2 linked regions of the Cricetulus griseus genome follow. The protein of the gene in region 1 binds, or shares a complex with, the protein of each later gene. Links are inferred from orthologs where the notes say so. Each region holds a gene or a part of one and is shown in the gene's direction. Other genes may lie near its edges. The genes, in order: Acss1 and Sirt3.

Region 1 (4,245 bases):
CTCAACAAACCAGTTCTTGAAAATCCCCCACCCTTAGTGTTTATTTTTATTATGTATTCACTTCTTAGTTCTTTGAGAAAATCAGCAAGACAAGCAACCCTTATCCAAACTAACTAAAAGGCAGAGAGAGAATATCCAAACTAACAAAATCAGAAACACAAAGAAGGCCATAACAACAGACACTGAGGAAATCCAGAGAATCATTAGGTCATACTTCAAAGACCTGTGCTTCGCAAAATTGGAAAATCTAAATGAAAGGATAAATTTCTTGACAGATACCACTTCTTAAGTAGTTGGCAGAGACACATTTCTTTCTATTCTTGATTCTTCAATAACAGAACCTGCATCTCCGTGACGGAGCTGATGATGCATAGTGTCAAACAGGCCAGACATGCTGTGGACATTGATTTTATTCTTCACCGTAGCTTCCCACCACCTCAAATCAGCGAAGGTCTCCAGGGCAAGAAGCGATACCTGCCAGGACAAGGGTCGGCAGCTGGGTAACATGCATAACTTTCACCAGACTCCGGCCTTCGTAGAATCTTCTTCTCAGCTTGAAGGCCCCCAGGCTTTTTATCAATCAGCCTTTTAGTCCACCTGGTGTCAGTTATGTGTGAGTGGCATGGTGGTACAGGCCGGCACCGTTGGGAAAAGGGTTCATTCTCAGGAGATCACCTAGGGAGGAAAGATTTGACTTCAGTCTCTGGAATGCTGAACCGACTGACCGCTCATCCCCACCATCTGTGTTCTTCGCTCTCATGATCCAATCCTTCCTATCTCGGAGCGCTGCCCACGTCCCTGGTCGGGAGCCTGGGCAGCCCACATAATTTGCTGCTGCTGTCGCAAGCAGAGAAAGTTGTCTGGTTTGCAAGAAGAAGCGATCGCAGAAACCCAGGAACCTGAAGTCAAAAGCGCGGGCTATCCTGACACTAGGCGCACAGCAACTCCGCCCCCACTCCCATCCCCAGCCCCCCTCCCCCCCCCCCCACTGCTCGCACCCCTCTTCAGGCAGGGAGAAGAGGTGGGGCCGGGGCAGGCTCAAGGAAGCCGCTTCTGCGAAGCAGGGAGTAGTGGGTGGTGGCCGCGGAGGCGGAGCCGGGGCGGGGCGGTGGAGACTCTTAGGGGCGCCCAGGCTCCCGCACTCGCGTGGGGCGTCGGGCGAGATGGCGGCGCGCAGCCTGGGCAGCGGTGTGGGGCGACTGCTGCGTGGCCTGCACCGGCGCTCCGGACAATCGGGGTGGTTGCTGAGCGTGTCCCGATCGACCGCCACTCGGCTCCTAGGCAGCGTTTCCCTCGCAGCGCAGCCAGGCTCATACCCTGCGTTGAGCGCTCAAGCGGCCCAAGAGCCAGCCGCCTTCTGGGGGCCGCTGGCCCGTGACACACTAGTTTGGGACACCCCCTACCACACTGTCTGGGACTGCGACTTTAGGACGGGCAAGATCGGCTGGTTCCTGGGAGGCCAGTTGAATGTGTCTGGTGAGTGGGTTGCTGGGGACCAGCTACGTCCCGCCGAGACTCGGGAGGCCCCTGTCAGTAGCAGCTGTGCCCAGGCCTTGGCCCCTGTCCCCAGTATGCTTCACCACCCACTCTAATTCTTGTGCCACGTCACCCTGACCTGCATCCCACCCGGTCCAGAGACTGCAGCCAGCAGGGCACCAACTACGCGCCCAAACGTGCAGCGCTGGCTCAAGCTGAAAACTTAAGGTAGCCCGTTTGAGATCAGAATGGCCTATCCTAGCGCAGATTCTGGGTGGGACTTTCTTCAGACTTTAATCTCAGGGTTCCCTAGAACGATGGGCATACAGCTTACGACCCCAGACAGGCCTAGGTGGAGAGAGCGCATGCTCCAAGAACCCAGACCTTTTCTGCCCAGGGCCCCCCAGGTCAGCGGGATAAACGCAGTGTGTAGGTTGTTACCATCAGCTACGGTGCTAGCTAGCGTTAGCAGCAGCTCCCCAGGGGACAAACCCTGCAGTGTAAACAGAGCCCTGGTGGGTGCAGAAGGAAGAACGCGCCTGCGGCTGGGAGGGAACTGGTTATCTCCTCCCTCAGGGGCGTGTGGGCAGGAAGTTCTGGGTCTCAGAACTGCACCCCAAAGACAAACGTCTACAGTGTTAAAGGCAGACAACCCCAGCACTCTGGAGGCTGAGTCAGGAGGAGCTGAGCTGAGCTCAAGGCCAGCTTGGGTCATGAAGCCTCCTCGTTCTCCAAAAGGGACACATCAGTCACTAACTGTTTTCCAATGAGCCTGAATTCCATGCTGCTGGGGTTGGAAGCACTGAGAAGTCCCAGGGACTGAAGGAAGGGCTGGACTGACAGGCTGAGCCTCTGGTGCACAGCAGGGGTTCAAGGACTTCTGCCTTCCAGTGGGGTTGGAGTGAGGTCAGAGATGCATAAGAAAGAAACTGCATGGGGAGCTCTTGCTCCCCAGACTGATAGCTGGGATACCAGCGTGGGACTGATCCAGACCCCAGGAACATGGGTTTCAGTGAGGAAACCTCGGAAATCTACCGGACCTCTTGCAGTAGTTCAGTACTTATCCCTAGCATAGGTGTGGACTTTGGGAGCCCATTCCACCTAGAGGGATACTCCCTCAGCCAAGACACACGGGGGTGGGCGTAGGCCCTATCCCAAAGGATATGATAGACTCTGATGACACCCTATGGGAGGCCTCACCATCCAGGGGAAGCAGAAAGGATATGTGATAGGTAGGGTTTTATTGGGGTGGTGGTGGTGGTAGGGGAGGACGGGAGGGTGAGGGAACTGGGATTGTCATGTAAAAAATCTTGTTTCTAATTCAAATAAAAAATCTGCAAAAAGAAAGAAAGGAAGAAAGAAAGAAAGAAAGGAAGGAAGAAAGAAAGAAAAACTGAATGCCACCCTGGTATGGCAATGCTTTGTTCAAGGACCACAGGTTAGGATGGGATCTGGTGTCTGCTGCATCCATTGCATTAACTTTGGTGCATCTCAGCTTCCCCATTTGTAGTTAGGGAAGTAATACTTGGCTGTGCTGGGAGATGCAGAACCTTGTCCAGACTTATTGGTAATCAATAATAAGCCATTATCAATTTTGAATTACTATACCCAGAAATTATAGGTGGTGTCTGTTTTTTTTTTTTTTTAAAGCACAACACCTTAAAGAAACTTTGGACCAGTCATATTTTTCCCATTTTGTATATTACTTGGCAAGTTTAATCTAAATGAGTCTCTTACTAGATAAGTGTTGCCTTTAGATTTGAGTCAGCAAAATCTTGAACTTGGGGGAAGAAGTTCCTGGGACTGTAGAATTGATGGAATGTGCCTTTGAAGTGAGTAAAGCAGTTTGCAGAAGGAAGAGGGCACAAAGTGTGTGGCTTCTTTGGAAATCCCCCTGGGCTTAAGAGGCCAAAGCCAAGGGGACACCCAAGCTTACAGCTGATAAGGAATGGTATTGACCTTATGGTGAGGCTTGGGTGTGGTCTTCATGGAATTCTTTGGCCTCTGTTCTTCCACCTTTAGAGTGGGAGCCGGGAGCAAGCTGACCTGTAGGAAAAGCAGCTTCTCCGAATGCCTGGCTGTCAATCTATCAGCAGCATCTTTGTCCTTTACCAGCATCTGCAAACCCCAGAGGTCATAGTGTGAAAAGGGGACAGACTGCAGCTGCCCTGGGAGCCACCTAGAAAGCTGGGAAGTGGTTGAACTGTTTGGGTCTGATTTGTTTGTCTTGTGTGACAATGCCAGCTTGTTCCAAAAAGTGTGAGTGACGATATTGGCCTTTCAGGGATATCCAGACTAATGCTTCTCAAAGCATGGTCTTGGACCAGCAGCCTTCTTGGGGAGCTTTTAGCAATGCAAATTCTGTGGCCCTCTCTAGACCCTTAGATTTAGAAACCTGTTGGCTGGGCATCTTCCAGCTGCAGGTGCTTGGTTCAGCATAGTTTGGTGGTTTCAGCTGTGCCTTTTGAGCTACATTGAGTTCTCAGTTCATACTGTGCTGCACTTCCCACGTTTCCTTATATGTGAACTAAAGATAGGAGTGTGTCCTGGAACACTATTGTAGTTACCATTGTTACGTACTTTCAATTTAGCAGTGCTGCAGGATACAAGACCATTTTATTACCCTCTGAGGTCCTAGGTCAGGACTCTGGACAGGGCCCACCCTTTGTCTCAAGCCAGTTTCTCACTTCCTAGTTTTGGGGCCCAAACTGGTGCTGTGCTTGGAATATGGTTCATCCCCTGAACTCCCCAGTAAAGTCCCTTTGTCAG
Region 2 (4,385 bases), on another chromosome or scaffold:
TTTAATAGTGCAGATAAAGTGCTCTGGGGAATACAAAATGTTAGCCCACACAGGCAGTTAGATACTCAACACTGAAAACGTCTCTTGAAAACACTAATAGCAGAAAACTGCTGAATACCACCAAAACACACGAACGGAAAGGATCTTTGTGGAAAGGTGTTTCCTCAGGGAAAGCTCTAGATCAATGTCAGCAATCTGTAACTGTTCTGAAGTCCATCTCGTTTCCAATCAAACTCAAACACTAAGGTCTCTCCAGTGGCAAAAAGGCCAATGTGAAATACAACAGAAAGCAGGGACAATGGGGGCTGAATCAAAGGTTGTAGAATCATGAAGAATTTGCAGGCTGTAGACAATCACACCACGGCTTAGGACAAGTTACCAGGGTCTGTGGCAGACCCAGACGCGGTGGCACCCTAGCCTCAAAACTATTTGCTTGTTTGAATTAAGAGCTACCATCACAGGCCAGTCCGGGCCCCCCTTTAGTTAAGACAGTCTGTCATAGCCGGTAAGGCTGCAAAGCAGGGGGTTTAGATTCAGAACCCTGGTAGCAAGCAGCTCTGCTCCTTTGGCTGTAGCTCCTTTTCTTCTGATTCCCTGACCCTCGGGGCTGCTCAGAGCCTCCTGCTGCTCCCAGAGCCCTCTCCCTCCCGCCCACGCCGCAGAGCTCACTTCTTCGTGTACAACTCCTCCAAACGGTGCCAAACGGCGGCCTGGCCCGGCCCGGAGTTCTGGCTCTGCTGTAAGAAGGCCGGCACATCCTTCATGATTGCAGAGAGCTGGGAAGAGAAACACCAAGTACTCGGAACCGGCAGGGATGGCGGACGGAAATGCTCGCTCACTTCCGGCACCGCGTTGCGCGGGGCATGCCGGGAGCTTCCCAGTAGCCCCGCCGATCGCGGTCGTCAAGGTAACCGCGTTCTTGGCTTGGGCCAAACTTGTCCCGCGTGTTCGGCCCCGCCCTTGAGGCGTTAGCGTAGAGGTGCCCGGGGACAGCTGGTCCCCGAGTGGTCTCAAGTCTTCCGACGTGGGTCCTCTCAAACTGGGATGGCGTCCGGCGAGGACTAGGTGTGATCAAATTCCTGACCGCGGGAAGCGCTCAGAGAGCATTAGTTATCATCCACCCGGTCTAGAAGGTCGAGCGCAGGGTAAAACGATGACGCCTCCGAGTTTGGCTTCCCAACCAATAAGCCAGAGTCTCACAGAGCGGGAAGCTGGCCGCAGCGAGCATACACATCCCCTTCGGCACGGCGGGTTAACGTGCCGGGGGCGCCGGGCTGGGCACCATGTGAGGGGCGGAGCGTTGGTGCTGGGGGGCGGGACCTGGCCGAGGGGGCGGGGTAAGGGTATCGGGCGGGGCTTGGCGCAAGGGGGCGGGGATTCGGATGGCACTTGACCCTCTAGGTGCCGTCTCCCAGCAGAGCATCATGGCGCTGAGCGGTCGACTGGCTTTGGCCGCGCTCAGACTGTGGGGCCCGGGAGGTGAGCCACGGCGGGGAAGCCACGGGGTCCCTCAGATAGGCTGTCAGAGGTGTTTTAGGGGCGGGCAGCGGAAAGCAATTGCGGTAGTGAGAAGCTGGCAGGTGCGCTCTTCCACAAAGCTCGACTGACCGGCCTCATCAGTACCTCATCTCTTTAAAGATTTTTTTTTTTTTTTAATGTAGCTATTTCCATTGCAGCACAGTCTTTGAACTGTTCTGTGGAAGTTCCTTGTATGGATGTCTCATACTTTATGTCACCATTTCCTTATCGAAATAGTTTCTAATCTCGTATTATTGCAAATAACGACGTTTTGAATAACTTTGTTTGCACCCCATTTTGAGCATGAATTCCCAGTAGACCTACTGCCTTGTGTAAAGTTATGTGGTTTGTGTTGTTTTGAGACTGGGTCTCCTAGTCGATACCTGCCTCCAGCTGGCAGTATGAAGGAGGATGACCTTGAACTCCCGATCCTCCTCCTTCCAACTCCAGCTGCTGAGATTAGTCATGTGCCACCACATCCAGCTGTTATTTATGTTTTAATTGTCCCCCATGAAGGTTGTGAGTTTAAAGTTTCACTAACAGTCATACTGTCTGCAGAATAGTAATATGTTTTGTATAGTCCTGAGAATGGTCTATGATAGGCTTATTTTCAGTTTCAAATGAGTGAGTTTATTAAGAGAGAGAAATCATCACATTGGATATTTTTAAAAAATCCAGTAGAAATCTACTGAGGAAACCCCTTTAAGGTAGCCAGGTGGAGCTTCCAGTAAAGAGAGTCGAGGGCAGAAAAGAGTGCCCCGTTTGCTGAAGTTTTTCAGTAAAGGAACAAATAGCAACAGAGAGAGAGAGACAATATCAAGTTGGACACTTGCTGCATCCAACAAAAACCGACAGAGGAAGTTCAGATAGTCAACTGGAGTTCCCAGATGAGCTTTTCCTTGGTGTCTGAGATTCCTCTGTAGGCACTTTTACATGCTGGGATAAATGATAGGAACCTCCTGGAATTGGATCACCTTCTAGCTGTTCTCATGGGCAGTGCTTTTACTCTTGGGTTGTTTTGCTGTTCCTTTCCCTTCCTATCACACAGTTGGGGGAGCCAGCCCATCCAGACCTTGGACTTTGAGACCAACATGGGTCAGAAATGGGAGTTGTCAGCCCAGCCCCCAAAGCCAGCTTTTCAGTAGCTCAAACAACACACAGCAGTTTACCAATATGATGTACAAGTTTGTTTGTTTTTTCTTTTTTCTTTTTCTTTTTCTTTTCCTTTCCCTTTTTCTTTTGGTGCTGAGGATCAAACCTGATCAGGCCTTGTATTTCTTCTGCTCTTGATTTTAGATTTTGGGACTCGTAGGTGACTTCATCCTTTGTCTCTTTATAGTATCTCAGACATTACTTAATGCCAGCCTCTGGTGTCTTCATCCCAGGAGCTTTCTATACCATGTAAATGTACTTTAAGTTATACCTTAAATCTGTTTTAGATATTGTCAGTGACTTTGCAAACTTTTTTTTTTTTTTTTGTGGGCAGGTGACTAAGAAATGTCCCTTATGTGCCCTGACGTGGATATCTGGCAGTTGTCAGGCACTCAGCAATGGTCACAACTTTTCTCTTGACCCTTTTGTATTCTCATATGGTTTGTATTTAAGAGGAGTTCAGCAAATGTTAGGGCAAGAACCGTCCTAGGTGCTATGTGAGATTCGGGTATTTGATGGGAGGGATGTGGGTTTGGAGCCAGAGCTTTCTTTTCCTCATTCTTTATTGTTTTCACTGGGAGCTCCTTGGAGGGTTTCACTGCCTTGGCTCAGCAGAGGGACCTTGGTAAAGTGCGTTTATACCCTACTGTGATACAGAAGGACCTTCTTTAGAAGCCCATCTCTGCAGTGTGGGAGGAGCTGAGGTCTTTCTCCTGTTTGTTGTTGTTCTGTACACTCTGGTGAGAGGTTTATAAACATAGGTTCCTCCAAATCAGACTAAGAATTAGGAGTTGGGATGTAATTCTGGGAGAAAGCTCTTGCCTCTTCACCCCCAGAACAACAAAACACCACCAGCAACAGCAACAAAACAAAAGTCATCTTTGGCCTCCTTGCTTTGAGCTTGTCAGCTGAGGCTCAGGGTGCTGCAGGGTTACTCCTGGCTTGCTGTTGGCACACAAGTCCCTGGATAACTGAACACTGTGTGGATAGGGCAGCTGTGTACTGCAGGTGCACAGAGGAGAGAGCTGATAGACACCCTAATAGGAGAGGGAGCCAGCACTGTTGCCTTTAAGAGGAGGGTCAGTGATTATCCTTAGGGTTCAGCAAACATTTGACCTTGTGGGATTATGATACTCCCAAGAGGAGACCATGCTTCTCAGGCAGAATATGCTGGTTGGGACAGGGTTACTTAGAATCACTAGGATTTAGGACATGAAAACAAACAAGCCTTTTGTTTGGCTAAAATGAAGGATTAGAACTGTCACTAGAATGGCAATGGTGTGAGGAGAGCTTCTGGGAAAGCAGGTGGCATGATGAGAAGTCAGTTTTGTAAGGAGCAAAGGCAGTGACAAAGAGTAAACCCTGTATTGGTATCATCCTGCTAGAAGAGAGGCTCTGAACTGCCCTGTCTGAAGATGTACTGTTAGCATCTTTATTCTTGATTGTATTATGAGTAAAAGACATACTCTTAGTTGCCTGCTTTATGGCTGTATTAACTTTAGCCATTTATTTGGGGAGGGCCAATTTGATGTTTAATCTGTTCCACCATCTGATTGGAGAGGCCTCTATCCTGGTCATTAGGGCCATCTGATGGGAGAATTGGCCCAGTGTCTCAGCTCTCAGTGTGAGGCTGATGGTCCTGAATTCAGGGCAGATTGCCATGGTGATGGAGACATTGCTGCTTTGTTAGATATCAAGAGAGTCCTGAGTGAAGG

What was found.
Region 2: the proteins of Acss1 (region 1) and Sirt3 are in contact, whole or in part, in a crystal structure (PDB 3GLT), measured with the Homo sapiens proteins. The link is inferred for Cricetulus griseus from reciprocal best matches to the Homo sapiens genes ACSS1 and SIRT3. Residues at the interface, in NP_115890.2 of Homo sapiens: Ser640, Gly641, Lys642, Val643, Met644, Arg645; in NP_036371.1 of Homo sapiens: Gly145, Ala146, Gly147, Thr150, Pro151, Asp156, Phe157, Arg158, Ser159, Glu177, Phe180, Gln228, Asn229, Ile230, His248, Ile291, Val292, Phe293, Phe294, Gly295, Glu296, Pro297, Leu298, Gly319, Thr320, Ser321, Leu322, Glu323, Val324, Glu325.

Annotation. Positions count from the first base shown.
Region 1 is NC_048599.1:29,026,991-29,031,235, forward strand, and holds the start of Acss1 (acetyl-coenzyme A synthetase 2-like, mitochondrial), read left to right. Parts: upstream 1-1,163; coding exon 1,164-1,476; intron 1,477-4,245. UniProt on the Homo sapiens protein: Catalyzes the synthesis of acetyl-CoA from short-chain fatty acids. Acetate is the preferred substrate. Can also utilize propionate with a much lower affinity. Provides acetyl-CoA that is utilized mainly for oxidation under ketogenic conditions.
Region 2 is NC_048596.1:60,311,579-60,315,963, forward strand, and holds the start of Sirt3 (NAD-dependent protein deacetylase sirtuin-3, mitochondrial), read left to right. Parts: upstream 1-1,424; coding exon 1,425-1,479; intron 1,480-4,385. Other genes in the region: Psmd13 (26S proteasome non-ATPase regulatory subunit 13), read right to left, coding at 670-764.